3 linked regions of the Xenopus tropicalis genome follow. The protein of the gene in region 1 interacts with the protein of each later gene in a biochemical or structural test. Links are inferred from orthologs where the notes say so. Each region holds a gene or a part of one and is shown on either strand. Other genes may lie near its edges. The genes, in order: mark3, cdc25c and ksr1.

Evidence for each region.
Region 2: of the proteins of mark3 (region 1) and cdc25c, one has a biochemical effect on the other in vitro, tested with the Homo sapiens proteins (3 studies listed by BioGRID, with this or other methods). The link is inferred for Xenopus tropicalis from reciprocal best matches to the Homo sapiens genes MARK3 and CDC25C.
Region 3: of the proteins of mark3 (region 1) and ksr1, one has a biochemical effect on the other in vitro, tested with the Homo sapiens proteins (2 studies listed by BioGRID). The link is inferred for Xenopus tropicalis from reciprocal best matches to the Homo sapiens genes MARK3 and KSR1.

Annotation. Positions count from the first base shown.
Region 1 is NC_030684.2:98,312,434-98,318,538, forward strand, and holds part of mark3 (MAP/microtubule affinity-regulating kinase 3), read left to right. Parts: intron 1-1,898; coding exon 1,899-1,947; intron 1,948-3,482; coding exon 3,483-3,548; intron 3,549-6,105. UniProt on the Homo sapiens protein: Serine/threonine-protein kinase. Involved in the specific phosphorylation of microtubule-associated proteins for MAP2 and MAP4. Phosphorylates the microtubule-associated protein MAPT/TAU. Phosphorylates CDC25C on 'Ser-216'.
Region 2 is NC_030679.2:48,002,845-48,009,504, reverse strand, and holds the start of cdc25c (M-phase inducer phosphatase 3), read left to right. Parts: upstream 1-2,798; 5' UTR 2,799-2,882; coding exon 2,883-2,899; exon of another isoform or gene 2,900-3,129; coding exon of another isoform or gene 3,130-3,131; intron 3,132-4,441; coding exon 4,442-4,669; intron 4,670-5,756; coding exon 5,757-5,845; intron 5,846-6,217; coding exon 6,218-6,263; intron 6,264-6,660. Other genes in the region: oocyte-specific histone RNA stem-loop-binding protein 2, read right to left, coding at 1,984-1,997. UniProt on the Homo sapiens protein: Functions as a dosage-dependent inducer in mitotic control. Tyrosine protein phosphatase required for progression of the cell cycle. When phosphorylated, highly effective in activating G2 cells into prophase.
Region 3 is NC_030678.2:104,942,442-104,948,546, forward strand, and holds part of ksr1 (kinase suppressor of Ras 1), read left to right. Parts: intron 1-1,184; coding exon 1,185-1,332; intron 1,333-3,012; coding exon 3,013-3,475; intron 3,476-6,105.

The sequences.
Region 1 (6,105 bases):
TCCATATAGAGTATATATATATATATCATCTATATCACTTATATATACTAATTAGTGAATTTTAATCTCATCATGAAAAGCAATTTTAAAAAAACAATTTTTATTAAAAAAAAAAAAAAAAAAAAAACCTTAATTGCTTTATGTATTTTTTTAAATTTTTTTTTACTGATTCTAGAGTATAATCAGTTATATCTAACCACTGGCTGATTTTCTCATTCTAGTACCTAAGGCTGATGCCACACGGGAGCATATGGCGTATATTTTCGCCAAGCCGAAAATACCGCCATACGCTCCTACCTGTGCCTGCACGCAAATGAATGAAATACGCTCAGGTGCAGGCTCATGTAGCCGATATCCACCACAGATCTCGCGTTTTTTGGGGAATATCGGCTACACGTGCCTGCACCTGAGCGTATTTCATTCATATGGGTGCAGGCACAGGTAGGGTAGACATACAGTAGCGGGGGGCGTATTCTCGGCAAACTTTTCTTGGTTTGCCAAGAATACGCCCGTGTGGCATCAGCCTAAGGCCATGTTAATAGCAAACTTTAGTGAAGTTGTATCAGGTGCCTTATGGTTTCTAATTACATCTCACCACCCCCATGTCCTGTTACAGAAAGCTTGCTGTTAATTAATGTAACATGTCTGCTTAGTCAGGAGTTCCTTGGATTAATATCCTGTTTCTTTAGCTCTGTGAAAAGGAAAAGGCATTTGATTTAATTAAGTCGCAGGCACGTTGCTTTAAGTTTTGTTAAAGGACATGTCAACTCCAAAACTAATTTTTGCCTAATAAAAGAAAACATAATTCTAAGCAACTTTCCTAAATCAATTTTATTAAAAATTATTAGTTTTTGAAAAGTTATTTGTAAATGCAATTGCTATAGAAAGCGGCATTTGCTGAACTCCTGGTTGTTACATTTTAAACAATGTTGCAAGTGCCAGGCTCCTCCATCAAGACAGGTCTGTCAGTCTGCTGCCTTGTGTTACATTGTTTCAAATGCCAGAGCCACCAGGGCAGGGCAGAGAATAGAAAGGACAGGCAGACACTGCTATTAATATCAATTATATGTACAAATAACTTAAAAACCATTACAAATATGTAATGAATGCATATTGCAAAGTTTCTTAAAATTAAGTTTGCTTTTATTGGGCAAAAAACTAGTTTTGGGGTTAACATGTCCTTTGAAATTTACCTTTTTTTCTACAAATGTAGGCATTTTCCCCCTACCCTTCTTTTCAGTAGTATAGATCAATACGAACGGGGTTATTAAGATAATATATTAATACAAAGTATAACAATAAATACAAATAAATACAAGGTACAGTTGCAATAAGTTAAGAGTCAGAGACAAAAGGATGGAGGTCCCTGCCCCATAGAACTTACAATCTAGATCAGTCAAGACCCTGTTGTCAGCTTATTGGTCAGTGCATTGGGCTAAAACTATGGCTAGACCAAATTGTCAGTGTGTGGGTGCAAACTGATAGTTGAAACAGCCCTTTGTTTTGAAGGCCCTGTGTTAAAAACAAACCATTTTTTTCTTTAATATGCTTTTTTAATAAAATTTGCATATTTGGTTTTATACATGTCTTAACTGTTTTTTTGTGTTTTGTATTTGTGTTCATATTTTTTATAAAAGGGTTTCCTGTGCACCCAACCTACAAATAAAAATTGCTAACTGGCAAGGTTTTCTTCGTCAGTTTTTATTTATTTATTTATTTATTTTCAAAGAGTCTTTCAAAACATAAAATCATAAAAGCATTTTACCCAATAGGTGTACAAGAGAAAATTAAAGAGTACAAATCAGACATTAATGATCATTCCAAACTGACAGGGTTTTCAAGCACTATTTTAAGTACATAACTTTTTTTTTTTTGTTCTAATGTAAACTATCTTTCAGCTTTTCAGGGAGGTAAGAATAATGAAGATTTTGAATCATCCAAATATAGGTAATGAATTATCTGGTAGACCTTTATTTTACTAAAATATGATGTTTATCTCTTTTGCAGTAGTAACTTAAGACATAAGTTTTTAAATATTGTAACTTTTTGTTTGAAGGATTGTTTATATAAAGTTTTCTATGAATATTTATAGAAATGATTTGCTAGTGAAACAGATACAATAGCATGGGGCTGTATTTTCAGCCCTGTGGTAAGTGGGGATTTTTTTTTTATTTTTTTATTTTAAATACCAAGCCTTTATAGCAAGGTGAGGGCTATATCAGCAGCCTCACTTATGGGTGGCCACATCACTTACAACCTCTGCTTTTCACTGATTGGATAGGCAGATTGTAAACATTTTACTGAAGATCGCTGAATGGCAGAGGGAGGGCTCTTTGGCAATTTCCAGCTGCCCAGGTTAACACTTTTAAAAGCAGAATGTGTCAGATTTGTGGTTAACATTAAATTAAAAAATGGACTGTTATGGTTGACTGTCCAATTCTGGACCTCAAAGGAACTGTTTATTTATTGTAAGGGGTCCTAAATTTGGCAGGTTAAGTCACCAAGGATGATTGGAGGGTAGTTAGTCCAGAGAAAGAGAGGGAAGTATATTTGAATTAAGAGGATAGTGAATTTGAAGTGGCTGTGCTTCTATCAGTTTGAAGTAACTGGAGGAAAAAGCTGTTTTAGAAAATTATATAGTGTAAGGCCAATGGTACTAGGCATTTTCCCTGCTGCTGTTATCAGGTGGAAAAAAGGCCAGTGATTTAAAATTTCTGTCTTGCCTTTCATAGTTTGTTTTATGTAGTGGTAAATGCCCTTCTGGAATATATACATGATAGCAGCAGAGATGAAAATATTTGAAGAAAATTACAGTTTCTGCCTTTTAACCATCTCACATAGCAGAACAAAATCTTCCAAGGTATGCAGTTTTGCAAGGTAACTTTCATTTGCCATTGTGAGCAATCATTTGGGCCATGTGAGGGCAATCAAACATTGGATAAACTCACAGGTTCCAAATGATTATATTGTTTTCACATTGGTTTTTCAATATCATATTAGTTGCATGCAAGCTTATTATATGTACTTAGCACCCTGTTACACCTATACATTTTTAAAGTGTGAGATGACCAATACTAACCCTTCCTCTTCCAACCTGGCAAGCCATTGTTTCTTATATATGCGTGCCCTCATCCATCTCTGATGTCACTAGAGGGGCAAGGGGAAGGTGCAAATATATAACTGATGTAGTGATGTTGCGAGCAGGGCAGGCCATCGCAAAACAAAGCCATTTAGAGGAATTGTGGGAATCCCTACTCATTCTGCTTTATTCTAAAGTTTTTTAGGATTGTGCCTTTTAAATGAATATAAAAAAAAAAAACATGCCTCTGTCCTCAACATGACCTTGCCATTTTTAGAATATTTAAAAAGTCATACAGTTTTCAGGGCAACAGCTGGTTCATATTGCAAATATGTGTATAACTGAAGGTATTAAAAAAAACATATCTGCAGATTTCTTTAAAGACCTATTTTTCTCCCTGCAGTTAAATTATTTGAAGTAATTGAAACAGAAAAAACACTCTATTTGGTGATGGAGTATGCAAGTGGAGGTAAGTCCTATCTGTATATTAGTGTTTTTTGGTATATTTAAAACAATGATTTTAACATCCAAAAATTTTCTTAAAAGGATATAGAGAAGTTACAGACAAAAGGGGGGGTAGGTACATGTTCTTAGTTGCCTTGGAACCAAAAGGCCTGCAGGGTTGAAAGGGCCTATTGTTTTAGTAACAATCTACTGTAACAACAAGCTATTCCATGATTGGTCCAAGGAGGTATATAATCAGATTACCAGACTTCAAATATTCATTCTACATAATGAACTTCTTACTTTCCTTACAAGGTGACCATACACGCCAAGATCGCCAAGCGAGCGGATCTTCTCTCGATATCCCCACTTACAGGCGGGCGATATCGGGCTAATTTGGTCGTTTGGCACTGGAGCCAAACAGTCGAATTAGACCGCATGAACGAGCCAATGGTTCCCCGGTCCGACCGATTTTCAAACCTGCCTGATCGAGATCTGCCCAATTTCAGGACAGATATCAGTCGGGCAGGCCCGTCATTAGTGCACATACACAGACCTATAAGCTGCCGAATCGGTCTAAGGGACCGTTATCGACAGCTAGAATCGGCCCGTTTATGGGCACCTTAATTTGAAATTCGATTTTTTTAAAACATTTCTATAGCCAGAGCAGATAAAGATGAGTGGGAACCCTTTGTCATGCCCATTTTTAGTTGAAAATTGGATGTCATTCCATAATTAACATTTACTTTAGATTTGTGTATTTGATGTGCTTTTTGGCCAAGATTATACAGTGGTGTAACCCTATTCAGTTTGCTGCATCCCATGGTATCAAAATAGTTTATCTTGTAATAGATATAATTTATATAATAGTAATCATTTATCTCTGTTGCTATGTCATGCCAATTTTTAGATTTACCAGGACATGCCAAATGTAATGTAGATGTTTGTACTTTTATCAGGCATATTTTGTTAGACCATTATAAAGGCTAAGTCACATGAATGAACCCTACAACATTTCATGAGAAAAGTAGTAGCAACGCATCACAAGGAATTGTCGGGTACCTCTCTACAATTTTCATCCAGACAGTATTTTAAGTAGGTAAAAGACAACAGAAATACAGACTAAAGGTGGCCATACACGCACCGATATTATCGTACGAAACCTCGTTTCGTACGATAATCTGTGCGTGTATGGCATGTCAGCGAGCCGACCGATATCGCAGGAAGCTGCTGATATCGGCCGACTCGCCGATCGGCCAAGTTAGAAAATTTTGATCGGGCGCCATAGAAGGCGCCTGACCAAAATTCTCCCTTCAGAGCTGAATCGGCAGAAGGAGGTAGAAATCCTATTGTTTCTACCTCCTTACCTGCCGATTCAGCCCTGAATGGTGTGTGGCGGATCTGACGATGTTTCGTGCGACCGACGGTCGTACGAAACATCGTGAGATCGCCACGTGTATGGCCAGCTTTAGAGGGGCCCTGCCTGGTAGAGTCTGCAAATAATTATTGGTCTGTTTTAAATTAAAATAGACTTGGTGATTAGCATATGGTTGCATTTGTAGCCTGGTGGTTTCTCTATACTGTTGAAGGACATGTCTGGTAGCTATAAGCCTACAGAGCAGAGTGACATTCTGCAAGAGTGGTAGTTAGTGACTTCACACTAGCTTTACTGCCCCCTAAATGTTTGTTTACAAAATGACCCAGAACAGTAAATCATAGCCGTTATCACAAGCTTGTATAACATCCACTCTATATATGGGAACATTCTGACTGCGTTGTATTGTTTACATCTCTGATAATTTTTTCTTTGCTGTAATTCCACCATACAAAGTAGCACATACTAAGGGACACATTTACTAATCTATGAACGTCTGAAAAGCGTCTGAATGCGTTTTTTTCGTAATGATCGGTATTTTGCGACTTTTTCGCAAATTGTCGCAAATTTTTCGAGCGCTCAATACGAAAAAGTCGCGACAATTCGCGAAAGTCATAATGGCTATGAAAAAGTTGCGACAATTAACGAAATTTGTAATGGCTATGAAAAAGTTGCGACAATTTGCGCAAGTCGTAACGGCGACGAAAAAAATACGAAAAAGTCGCAAAATGTTCGTTTTCCAATCCGAATTTTTCTGATTCGTGGATTAGTAAATCAGCCCCTAAGGGTTACCTGTTAAAGTGGGCAGTGAATAGTACAATAGCATTAGGACTCTGTTTTTAGTTTGCTATGTACTTTTTCTATCCTTTGTTGTAGCAGGATCTTCATGTAGCTGTGATGTGCGCTTTGTTTCTGCAGTATCTGTACTAACACGACCACCTATGTCCTTTTCCTTTCAAGCACTTTTGTACCTGTATGAAGGGGTGACTTGATAACTAAAGGTTGTGAAGCACTTTTGCCTGTGAAACTACAGATACAGTGTTAGAACACTAGGTTACATGTAGATAAAGAGAATGGGATGATTTGCAAATCATTTAAATCCTATATTGCAAATATTACAATTTTTTTTATTAAATATGTGCCCATTTTGAATTTGATGCCAGAAACCTGTTTCAAAAAAGAGGCTTGGGTCTCTTGGATGTAAAGA
Region 2 (6,660 bases), on another chromosome or scaffold:
TACACCCCTACACTTAAAAGTCTACCTACCTGTGCAAAGTGAAACTTTCTGGCTGTACACATAATCCATCTCTTAAAGCATGGAAAATAATTAAAGCACTGTATTATAGGCTTGGTCATCACATAAGCGAGACGATTAATTTGTGCAACCAATGGCTAGACTGAGCAGATTTAAAAGGGAATAGTCTATCTTTAGCAACTTTTCACTTGGTCTTGATTTTTATAGTTTTAGAATTATTCACCTTCATTTTTCTCTTCCAAGATCTCCAAGTGAGCTCTGTGAGGCTACAATTTTGTTACTTTTTATTACATCTATCCAGACCTTGTATTCTTTTTTTTTTTTTTTTTCAGTCTCTCACTCAAACCATTGGCTGGTTGCTAAAAAAGTTGGACCCTAGCAACCAGAAAGCTGCTGAAATTCCAAACTGGAGTACTGCTGAACAAAACGTTAAATCATTTAAGAACCACAAAGAACATTTCAGGTTTGTCTTAGAAAATCACTGCATCATACTAAAAGTTTATTTAAACATGAACTACCACTAAGTGAAAAGGAAAAAAAATCTTTTACCCTTCTAGACATCAGGTTAACATTTGGGATCAGCATACCAAATGGATAGTGCCACGGTGTTATATATATATATATATACACAGGAAAGGGATCAGGCAAGCAGAATGACCGATCGATGCCTATATGGATACCTTTGTACAAATTACATATGTTTACATTGTAAGCATGGTACCTACGGTGACCCACTTAAAAGTGAAAATAGTAAATAAAATTAAGGTGTATAGCTCATTTTAACCAAATTCTACATTAGAAAAAGCTGGCTTAAATGATTTGGGTCCTCTGAAAAGGCCAAAATAGTGGCCATAAACAAATTTGGCGAAGTTACCGAGTGAGCGGATCTTTTCCCTATATGCCCACCTATGAGCGGGCAATATCGGGTCAATTCAACCTCTAGGCAGGCATAGGTGCCATCAGATCGGGGAATGCAACAGTGAGCCGATGCAATGCCTAAACCAACAGAAAAAACAAACCTGCCCAATTGAGATCTGGCTAATTTCAGGCCATATGTTGGTTGGGAAGGCCTGTGCCCATACATGGAGCATACAAGTTGTTGAATCGGTCTAAAGAACAGATATCGGCAGCTGAAGTCAGCCAGTGTATGGCCACCTTACTCGCAGCAATCTGTCTCTCTTCATGTAGGAATCATTTAGATTTTGATGGTTAGGTCAAATGTGTGTTCCCTTTGTCTAAAGTTAGACAGTGTACTACAGTGGTCTTTCACAATAACTGACCCTGACACAAAGTTGCATGTAGAGAGAGGTCAATTTCTGACATGGAGACAGTGAACTTGATTTCAGTAACTGTACAGGAAGTGTCTAATTTCTATGAGATTAAACACTTCAATAAATGTTCCCCTTTAAATATGCAGCTTATTTTGGGCCAAGTCAAGAACATCTAGCAGTCTAAGGCTCAACTGAACCCTAGAAACAAGCTGGTGATTTGCTTAGACAGGTAAGAGATTGCAAAAACAGTAGTAAAACTATGTAGGCATATTTTCGCCACTGACATTAGCTTTAATGTAAAATTTTCTTCCTTTTGGTTTAGAACAAAAAAAAGTTTGCTGTGATAATCAGCTCAAATGTAGCATAATAAATGGTACACAAATCATCCATGCAGTGAATTTATATAAAGTGCGATTTTAAACAGTGACAATGCAACCTGCGCAGCAAAGATATACATATACAAAAAGTTTTAGAGAAAATGGTTACAATTCCAGGTTAAGCTTTACTGCCCCTATTCCTGAAGGCCATCAAGCTTTTTACAGGTCCTCCCTCCCTAGATAATGCACAAATGTATCCCAGAAGTATTCCAGTTTCTTAATACATGCCACATTATTAATCCTTTCTGATGCGTATTATATTCTTGCTAGAGAACCATTATAAAACGTACAGCATACAACAGGGCAGAATTACTAACCAGTCATGCAGCATGAAGATTTTATATGGAACCTGTATTAAGACAGCAACAAGATTTTAAGCACAAAATTGAAGTTATGTGTAAACACTGAGTAAGTTTGCACCTGGGCAGTAACCCATGGTCAATCAGATGATTGCTTTTAGTGTTTAACCTAAAGCTGGCTAATTACTGCTTGGCTGCTATGGGTTAATGACCAGGTGCAAATTTGCCAAGTGTTTACAAATGAGCCCCATAGATCCAAACAGAATTAGAGAGAACTCAAGATGTTTCCATGTAAAACACTGAAATAACCTGACAGCATTTTCCACATTTGAAGTGAATGTATTATTACAAAACCAGATACATTTTTTTTTTTTAATACCAAAAGCAGACTTCTAATAACTGCCAGGAGCTACCAAATACAAAACGATTACACGTCAAATCCACACTACTCTAAAGCCCTTCAACCAGCCAGGCAAAACAGAGCATTAAGCCAGTGGGTGAGCATAACCACTCCAGCATAGGAAAGCTACAGAATTTCCAAAGAACGGAGGAGAAAAAGCAACACAAGCTCATCGTAGAACACCAACTTCAAACAGCACGCTTCCCTCTATTACCGCTGCATGGCTCAGACAACAGCTGACTAAAGCTACTCAGCCATTGCTCTTTAAACACCCCGCCACAGCAAAGTGGGCGCGCCCTGCATGCATAATACAAACGAGATAGCGAATCACTGAGCGCAACAGGGACCAGGAAGAGCTCTAAAACAACTAAACCAATCTGAGACTGCGCTGCCTGTGACGCGCTCTTATCAGCCAATTATTACAGATATTTGTTTCAAACAGCTTGTCTTGTAGCCTATCCCAACGGACCTCCCTGTCCTACAGCCTTTCTAGGTGCTTTTGTGAGTTGTGACCCGGATGCTCTCTTGTGATTGGTTAGTTGTTCTAAGCGGAAGATTTTAATTTTGTGTTCGGTTTTTTGTTTTTTTTTTGCTACGTTGTATCTGTAACTGGTATCGTAGTAGGGGTTCGAATGGTAAAATAAAAGTGCACGCAGATGCTGTAGGGGTAGAAGGGTGTTCTGGACACATGATAACTTGCTTCAGACGCAGACTACTTGGCGATGGAGAGTCGGTTCGATAATTAAGGAGCGTGTAACCCCCGAATGTAAGCAGTTCTTATTAAACTTGTCATTCTAGTGACCTCTGTTCAGTAGTGATGATCTGTGCCCTGCTTTATACATGCATGTTGTAGCCTTTTCTCAAATAATATTGCCCTGATGTTATCAGGTGGAGTGAGTATTGCACTCTAGTGGATATTGTACTTAGAGGTACTTAAATAGTATATAATAAGAGTCATAAATAATCTTTAAAATGTACTCTTTGACGCATGGCCGTCCCTATATACCAAGGCTAATTTTCAGTGCTTTAATAGCTAATTGTAATTGCTATAGAAAGCAGCATTTGCTGAACTCCTGGTTGTTACTTTTTAAACAATATTGCAAACGTCAGTCTCCTTCAGCAATACAGGTCTGTCAGGCTGCTGCCTTGTATCTGCTAAATTGTTTCAACAGTCAAAGCCACCAGGGCAGAAAATAAAAAATGACTGACAAACACTACTTTTAATAGCAGTTATATATACAAATAACTCAAAAACCATTATACATTTGTAATGAATGTATATTGCAAAGTTGCTTAGAATTTCTCTTATTAGGCAAAAAATTATATTCTGGGTTGGCTTGTCTTTGAGCGTTTCCTCTTCCTTATTTCTTCTCTCTTTGGAATCCCTGGGCCAGAGCATGCGCAGTAGAGTGAAAAAGCCCACTTTCTTGTTAAGGTTTGGCTTTTCACTCTACTGCACAAGCGCACAAAGGAAGAGTGAACACTTGCTGCAGCTACGCCAGGCTGGTGCGGTTTTATCCCAACAGGGGCACCAGCCCGGGGTAAAAGGTAAGCGATTAAAGTCACTTGGGGGTGCCTAACATTTTGGCACCCCCAAGTGACTTAGCCTTTCCTTCTCCTTTAAGTCTACTAAAAAAAATCAATAAAACATTAATTAAACCCAATTGGATTATTTTCTATCTATTTAAGTCACATTGAATGCCCCAGACCAGGGTAGGCTATATTTTATCTCAACGCAGATCTTTCTTTTTTTTGGCAATACTGTTCTTTAAAATTGCTTAAAATTTTTATGAGGCATCTGAGGTGCCCAATCGGTGGTATTAAACATGTTAGTCAGAAGGAGGGCTCCAAAATGCACGTTTGTTGTGTGAGTTGAAATAAAAGATGTTTGGGTATATTAATAAAAACATGGCTGTAGAGTCAAGCTTTATGGTAATAACCTTCATTGTTCTCATAGAGTATATGAAAGTTTTTCATAACAAAATAAACAGATTTGTGAGTTTTGTATAAAACACATGTTTGCAGATCTTTCATTTTTATTTTGTGCTATAACTATGTATTTCATTTGCACCACAGGTTCCAGACAAGTAGTGGAGGCTCGGCTGAAGTCATGGCAGAGAATCACATAATGTCATCAGAAGCACCCCCAAAGTCCAACCAAGGCCTGCATTTCCGTACAAATTGCAGAATGATATTAAACCTCCTTCGTGAAAAAGATTCCTCAGTTACATTTTCTCCTGAACAGCCTTTGACACCTGTCACTGACCTTGCTGTTGGATTTAGTAACCTAAGTACCTTCACTGGGTAAATATCAGCTCGGCATTCTAAAGCCTGCATGCAGAGAAATTTGCAGAACTGGTTATTTTGTGCTCTGTATATGTTTTAGGGCAGGGGTCCTCAAACTTTTTAAACAGGGTGTCAGTTCTTGGTCCCTCAGACTGTTGGGGGGGGCTGGACTATAGTTAGTCCTCGAACTATGCCCCCGCTGCATCCTCACCCCTGGCTACTACCTGTCTGCCTCAGCATTGTCCTCGGCCCCAGCGTGTCACCGCATCACACCAGTGGGGGCTGGGTAAATGATCTTGGGGGGCCGAATCGACCCGCGGGCTGTAGTTTGAGGACCCCTGTTTTAAGGGCATCACAAACTGATGATTTCAGATGCTTGGGAGCCATTGCCAGTTTGCCTCAAATTGACCACCTTCCCCATTACCTGCTATGGTGATTACCTAAAAACAAATGTGCAAGTTGCTGAAGAGTCTCAGAAACATTAAGCTTTTGAATTATTTGAAGTGATTAGTGGTCATAATAAAGGTCTTAGCAAAGAAGTTAGAGTACATTGTAAAGTAGAATTTATCAGTTGGTGAGGTCAGCTATTTTTTTTTTTTTTTAGCATTTCTATTTTGTTTTTTGCTTCTCTAGAGGCTCAATATAAAAGTAAGGTCTTTGGAGGAACCCATACACAAGCCAATAAGCTGGAGGGCCTGAAACAGGAGCTTTTATCTGCACATGTACTGTCTGTCTTAAAATATAACTGGTAATTTTTAATGGCTGCAAGGGAGCAGGAATGCTTGGAACCTAGGAGCTTCATGACAGCGTGGACATGCTATGTAAAAAACGGCAGAGAAAAACATCACCTGTTTATTGTGTGTGCAGCATTGTGACATATGCTGTATATTCTTTCCTTTAAGAAACCGTCCATATATTCCTTTTTCCTAATTTTCTTCAGTGCACTGTTTATAACATGGTTTTGATTGTACTGGAAGATATACTAGTCTGCTCTCACTATTTTGCTCTTATTGCTAAAAAATAGTTTTTCTCTTCCCTAAAATCTTTATTTACGCATGGACAGTTATTTTCTTTTTTGTTTTTTTTGTTTCTTTGCCACGATCAGTGAAACTCCCAAACGCTGCCTGGACTTGTCCAACCTTGGTGATGAGACTGGGCCACTGCCAACAGAGTCCCCTGACAGAATGTCATTAGGTATGAATTCTTTAGTTTCTGCTGAGTAAACAAGAACAAGGTACCTATGTATATTCATTTTATTTAAGGGCTGCTGTAGCATTTAGGTAGTGGATTGTTGATAAAACAATAATATTGCATTTTCAATTTCAGAATGGGACTGACACAAAATAATTTAAAATATAACACAATAGTAGACATTTTAAAAGGTTAACCTTTTAGATGCAAATGTCTCTTTACTTGTGTGCTGACTACCACAGTTGAGAGAGATATTTCAGATAGAATTTAGTTGAAATACTTAAACAAAAAGTGCTTTCATCAAGTGTGTTAATTTCAGTCCAATAAGCTCATCATGGCAGTATGTTTCTTATGCATGTGATTATCAATTTTCAGGCAAAGTGGAGTCACCAAAGACACAATTTGTCCAGTTTGATGGCCTGTAAGTAATCAAAACTTTGGCACCAGATGTTTTTTTGCATGTGATTTGCCGTTTTGTTGCTCCAGCACAGACTAAGATAACATTAATCCTTACTGGAGGCACAAGAATCCTATTGGGTTTATTTAAAGCTTAAGGGAGAAGGAAAGGTAAAAACTAAGTAAACTTTATCAGAAAGGTCTATGTAAATACAGCCATAAGCGCTCAGAAAAGCTGTCCTCTATCAAAAGAAACACAGGATTTCTTGTCTCCTTTTTTGTAAACATTTTCTTCACGTATCTGACTTCCTCTCTCAGAAAAATCCTTATATTTTTATCATCTCACTACATGCTTCACAATTCCCAATCTGAGTCACAGTCACTTCACTCAAGCTGCATGTATAATTGCACATATCTGCTTG
Region 3 (6,105 bases), on another chromosome or scaffold:
ATTGTATACATCTTTTGTACTATGTATGTTATGTAAGCTAGGTAGCCCGGGCCATTTTGCATTAAAATGAAGTAAAAGAGCTTTAATGAATTAATTATGCACGTTGCCTGCTTTTTTGCAATCCTCTAATGGTCACTATCCCTTCAGGATGCATCCAGGATCCTGAATGGCACTAGCAGCTATTGTGCCTTTATCTGTCACATGCATACATATAGAAGATACATGCCTACAAAACTAAATAAACTATACAAGAGGTTAAAAAGAAACATGTTCATATATGTTCTTGCCTTAGATACCTTGGCAATGCCTGTATTAGTTTTTCAATTTATTATTTTCAGAGCTGGTGTGGATATTATAACACAGATATACGAATCATGCCTGAATTCTACTCTTGAGTTTTGTATGTCTAACTGTAAGACAGTTAAAGGGATTTTGACATGATTCTTATAGTGTACTTTTAATTTCTAAATTACACTGTTTACATAGCAAATAATTCACTCTACCATTTAAAATGTTATTCTTGAACCAACAAATGTATTTTTTAGTAATATTGGTGCCTGATTCTGAACTTTCAGAAAGAGCCAGCGCTACACATTAGAATTTAGCCTATTGTTTCTCCTTCTCAATGTAACTGGAGGGGTCCCAAGCTGGATTTGTTACTATTGAGTTCTATTCTGATATGTACTGGGAGCTGCTACCTTCCCATTGTTCTGAGAGAGGGAAAGCAAGTTCATTATGAGAGGCTGAAGTCTGGCTCCTTTGGTCACACAGAGCATTTTTAATCAGGCGTATAAGTGGATCCACTCTTATCAGCATCTCCCTGTAGCTGCACTGACAATCACAGCCTGCATGCAGCTACTCAGAATGGAGTGGAAGCAGTGAATTGCCCTAAAACGTGAAAGCAGGCATTTTTGGCCGCTCTACTCTATGTAGCTGCACTCTGGTGGAAGCTGTCATTGTTATTGCAGCTACAGGGAAATGATGAGTGTTGCAGATCCACTTCTTTCCACGTGACTGAAACCCACAGGCAGAGATCAGCATGTAGGAAATTGAGGATGTACAGCAAATGGATACACATGTATAACAGTTTTAAGTACTTTGTGCCTCCTTAACCTTACTTAAAGATGGCAAATATTTACCATTTTGAAAGTTGTACATGACAATTGTTTTGCATCTGTTTTTAGAAAGTATCAGAAGAATTAACACTAGATGCCTTATTGGAATTGAATGAATTAAAAGTAAAAGAAACCATGAAGAAATGTGGAGCCAACACAGAAGAATGCTCCAGACTTAATGGAGCTCTAACCTGCTTAAAGAAATTAGCACGTTCAGGTAAGAATTTCTCTCCCAACCTGTACCATTACAACAATAATAAAACAGGACATGACCCACCCAAAAGGGAATACTCCCTTCTGTAGAAAGCATTTCTGAGTACATAAGGCAACCCTGTGTAGGTCTCAATAAGCTGACAGACCAGGCCAGTATAACTGAATTTAAAGGTACAACACACACCCATTTTCATCAAGAATTCTATGAAAAGGCTTGTGCTAATCTTACTTATATAATCTTTTACATCTGACACTAAACTAGAATATGAAGCCAGTTCCACTTTAATACTTCCTGTCACATCCTGATCCTACAGCACTTCAAAGGAGCTGATAAAACTAATTACCAGTCCATGGAAAAGCCCTCTGATAATGAGCTGCTCAAAGGCTGCTGCTTAGAGAAGGGGGGTGTTAGTTTAAATGTAGATCTATCTATCATCTATCTATCTGGTTTCCCAACATGATTTCTGCTACATAACACCAAGATTTAATATCCTGGGGATGGTTTTGATATTTTCAAGGCCACAGCCTAAATTCCTGCCTGCTACCTCCTAAATATTGGCAGCCCTAGCCCAAGCGTTTATATATACCTGTAGAACGTGTTTCTTAAATGGGACATAAAAAAGGGTAAAATACAACTTTTAGCAAACTAGACTTTACAGAACAACCAGCTGAGTACATTTGCAACATTTGGAGCAATACAAATCATTTATTTCTGCCTTAAAGCAGACTTTGGATGCTGTGAATAAGCAAGAAAACTATTGTGAAGTAAAATTTTAAAAATATACACTCCCTAGTGATATCAGATTGTGGCTCATTCAGCTATCCATCAAAGACATTAGATTAGAATAGTGCTGTACAACTTTTGTGGTACCGAGGGCCAAAAAAACACTCCCCTTTTTAAACCACACCAATTTTATCACAGGAACTTTTAAGGCAATACCCCCATTAATGGTGGTAGCACACCAAAAAAATCGAATGATTGGTGCTCACCCACCACTCATATGTGAAAAAAGTTGATTGTCATATTAAAGCATACACTTATACTCTTAAATCTATAAGGCTTCTCCTCCTTCCCTGTGGGTAGCGCCTTAACCCCCACCTTTGTGTAAGCTTTAAAAGGTATCCGTTCTGAGATTAACTGGTCCCTGAATTATTCACACCTTAGATTCAAGCTGTGAACCCCTGCATTGTTCACAGTTGTGAGCCCCTGCATTTTTCACACCTGTAAGACCCTGCATTTCACAGACTGAATAGGGCAGGCAGAGTTTGACACACACAGGTAGCATAGGGCAGACAGAGTAGGGAAGGAAACAGGGAAGCTTAGGGTCTGAGGTGTGAACAATGCAGGGTTTTACAGCTTGAATCTGAGGTGTGAATAATGCAGGGGGCAAGTTAATCTCAGTACTGATGCTTTTTAAGATTATACAAATGTAAGCATTCACAGCAGCCAGATTTTAATGAGGCCACACAAGGAGGGGGGCTGCAGGCCACCAGTTGGACAAGTAGCTTGGCAAGAAGATGAGATTGACAAGATTACATCTTGTCAGCCCTAAGATTTGCAACTGACTATTGACAGTAACATAGAATTTCATAATTTACTTCTAGATTAAAGAAATGTTCTTTATTTTGCGCATACAAAATATTTTCCAAACTGATTTTCTTTTTTCCTTTTTTTTTTTTACAGGGGGGGACATGAAAGATACATTATGGAATCCACCAGAGATGAGGAAAGAAAGCTCTTCCCAAGTTCCGTCTGATATTTCCTCTCCCGTTGGAGCAGCATGGACTCTTAACTCTCAGCCTCCGAAGACCAACAGCCACCAGCCTCGCTCCATTTCCGTTTCTGCCATCCCTTTCTCAGAATCCTCAAGCCAAGGACCTTATATTTATGCAGAGAACTTGCAGGACCCTTTCTCCTCCTCAACACCTATCAGTAGGTTAACACTTAGGACTCCCCATGGATTTACAATCACCCCTCCTACCACCCCACAGTTAAAGAGGGCCATAAAATTAAAGCCCCCTCGGACACCACCCCCTCCAGGCCGCAAAGTGTTTCAGCAATTACTTCCCAACTTTTCAACGCTCAAAAGAAGCAAGTCTCATGAATCTCAGCTTGGCAACAGAATAGATGAAGTTCCTTCTCTTAAGTAAGTTTTTATTCAGGTATATATCTTTTGAATTTACAGAGGATTGCTTAATCATCAGATAAGTAGTCTGCCATCTTCCCTTTAATTCAAAGGGAATATTGAAAAGCTCCCAGTGTTGCATTGACCTAAAAATATTTGTTAAAACCAAATACAGCTTTTTGCACAATTCTTCTAGAATATGTGCTGGTATCATAATGCCTTTCTTGGCCATTTCTGTGCAGAGGTATCATCACTGATGTCTTCATCTTTCTATTGTGGAATATGTTAGCATTTTATAAATTCTTGTTTAATAATACTTTCCATTTGATGTTGGTATCATTACAGTGAGTTGTGCAGCTTAATATCTTTGACTAGACAGAACTGAAACATAAATTCAATACATTCTGGGTGGTTCTTCCTTTTTGTTTTTTGTTGTTTACCCTTGGCCTTCTTTAAAGGGAAACGAAAGGTAAAGTCACTTGGGGGTGCCAAAATGTTAGGCACCCCCAAGTGACTTTAACCGCTTACCTCGTACCCCGGGCTGGTGCCCCTGTTGGGAGAAAACAGCACCAGCCCGGGGCACCTGGAGCGCAGCGCTTCCGTGTTCTGGCTTCCTCTTCCTGAATGCCAGCAGTGGGCGCATGCGCAGTAGAGTGAAAAGCCGACTTTAATGTTTAAGTTCGGCTTTTCACTCTACTGCGCATGCGCGCGCAGCGAAACAAGAGGAAGGAAGCGCCGGCAGCTACCCCGGGCTGGTGCTGTTCCCTCCTCACAGGGGCACCAGCCCGGGGTAAAAGGTAGGTGGTCAAAGTCACTTGGGGGTGCCTAACATTTTGGCACCCCCAAGTGACTTTGACTTTCTTTTCCCTTTAAGAGAGGGATGAGTTGGGATATGGATCTGTACAATGTATTGATCATTGAAGAGATTGGATGCAAAAGACAAGGTTCATCATATTCCCTTTAGATGTTTACTGGAAAACACACTTTTACTTAGAGGCTTTTACTTTTATGGTTTTTCTATAATTGTCAGCTATATGAGAGTCCGCCAGCTCCATGCTGTCTTATGTAATAGCCGCTTCTGATTATGGCTTTTGGGCCAGAATTCCCTCTCAGGAAGTTATCTGCACTATCCAATGAATCTTTTTTTGGGAGCTGTTTCTACCACTGTTGCCCTGGCACAAGTAATATAACAACAGTGTTGCAATGGGCATAAGTAGAGCTTGAATTGAAGAATAAATATAAGCACTGCAAAATGCACAGTCACGGAGCAAAATGCACCAAACAGATGCAATGTTACATTTTCTTTCCACTTGCAAAACAGTTAAGCCATAAATGTATGCAGCATTTCAAAGATAAGGGTTAAAGGATCAGTAACATCAAAAAATTAAAGTGTTTTAAAGTAATTAAAATATAATGTGCTGTTGCTCTGCAAAAAACTGGTATTTTTGCTACAAAAAAGCTACTATATAAATAAGCTGCTGTGTAGCCATGGGGGCAGCCATTCAAGCTGAAAAAAAGGAGAAAAGGCACAGGTTACATAGCAGATAACTAGTAGATAAGCCCCATATAATGGGGGTTTATCTGTTATCTGCTAAGTAACCTGTGCCTTTTCTCCTTTGAATGGCTGCCCCCATGGCTTAACAGCAGCTAACTTAAATAAACTATAGTAGTCTTTCTGAGGCAAACACACCAGTTGTAGCAATGCAGGGCAACAGTACATTATATTGTTATTACTTTTATACACTTTCATTTTTTGGTGTTACTGTTCCTTTAAGTGCAGCACCAGTGTGAGCTTGCTTTGCACCTGCCACTGATACAGACACAAATTGGAATTTTGGGCTAGAAGTTTTACCCATTAGAACTCCTGTAGTTGCTTCTTCTCAAGTGGTAAATGAGTTTGCTCTTGTATGAATGCATTCCAAAAGGATATGGCTTATGCAGTATCAGTGGCACACAGAACAGTATGAAATTGGTAGAGGATAGGTTAGAATTACTACCATATATGAATTTATTCATTCAGGTTGCCTTTTTTATTGTCAAAGTTGTTGTATAATGAACCCAAGGTATAAAATAATTTTAACCCAACAACTGAGAAGTTATGTAAGTCTCCTGAAATAGGGATACCCAAACTGTGGCCATGCAACTTTTATTTGCATCTTTTTACCAAGTGTTGGCAGTTGGGAGTGTTGCAAATCATTTATAGTTTTAAACAGAATAGCCCTGAATCCGGGATTGTCCTGCTGCAGCCAGATAGACTGAAGATAACTCCTTTTCTTTTCTCTTTTTTTGACAATACAAAAAAAGGCAACCAATAATGTTTGGGTTTTTTTTTTTTTATTTGTTTTTAAATTTTTCCTTGGTTTTGTATTTCATTAAAAAATTTACATACACTGTGCTATTTCCATGAAACACACCAAAAGTTCCACAGTAATTAAAAGACTGCAGGAAACCAAGCTTAAGTGAATATCACCAGCCTGTTCAGCTGTCAGCGCTGGTAACTGTGGTTTAGTTTTCCGAGAGTTGACACATGGGGATTTCCAGGAGTTTCAGTGATTAGTCACAAGCTTGACTCGAAGTGCATTGTTTAACCTCGTCACACTTTCTGCAGAATTCAAAATCAATAATTACTGAGTATCATCTGTGTGTGTGTA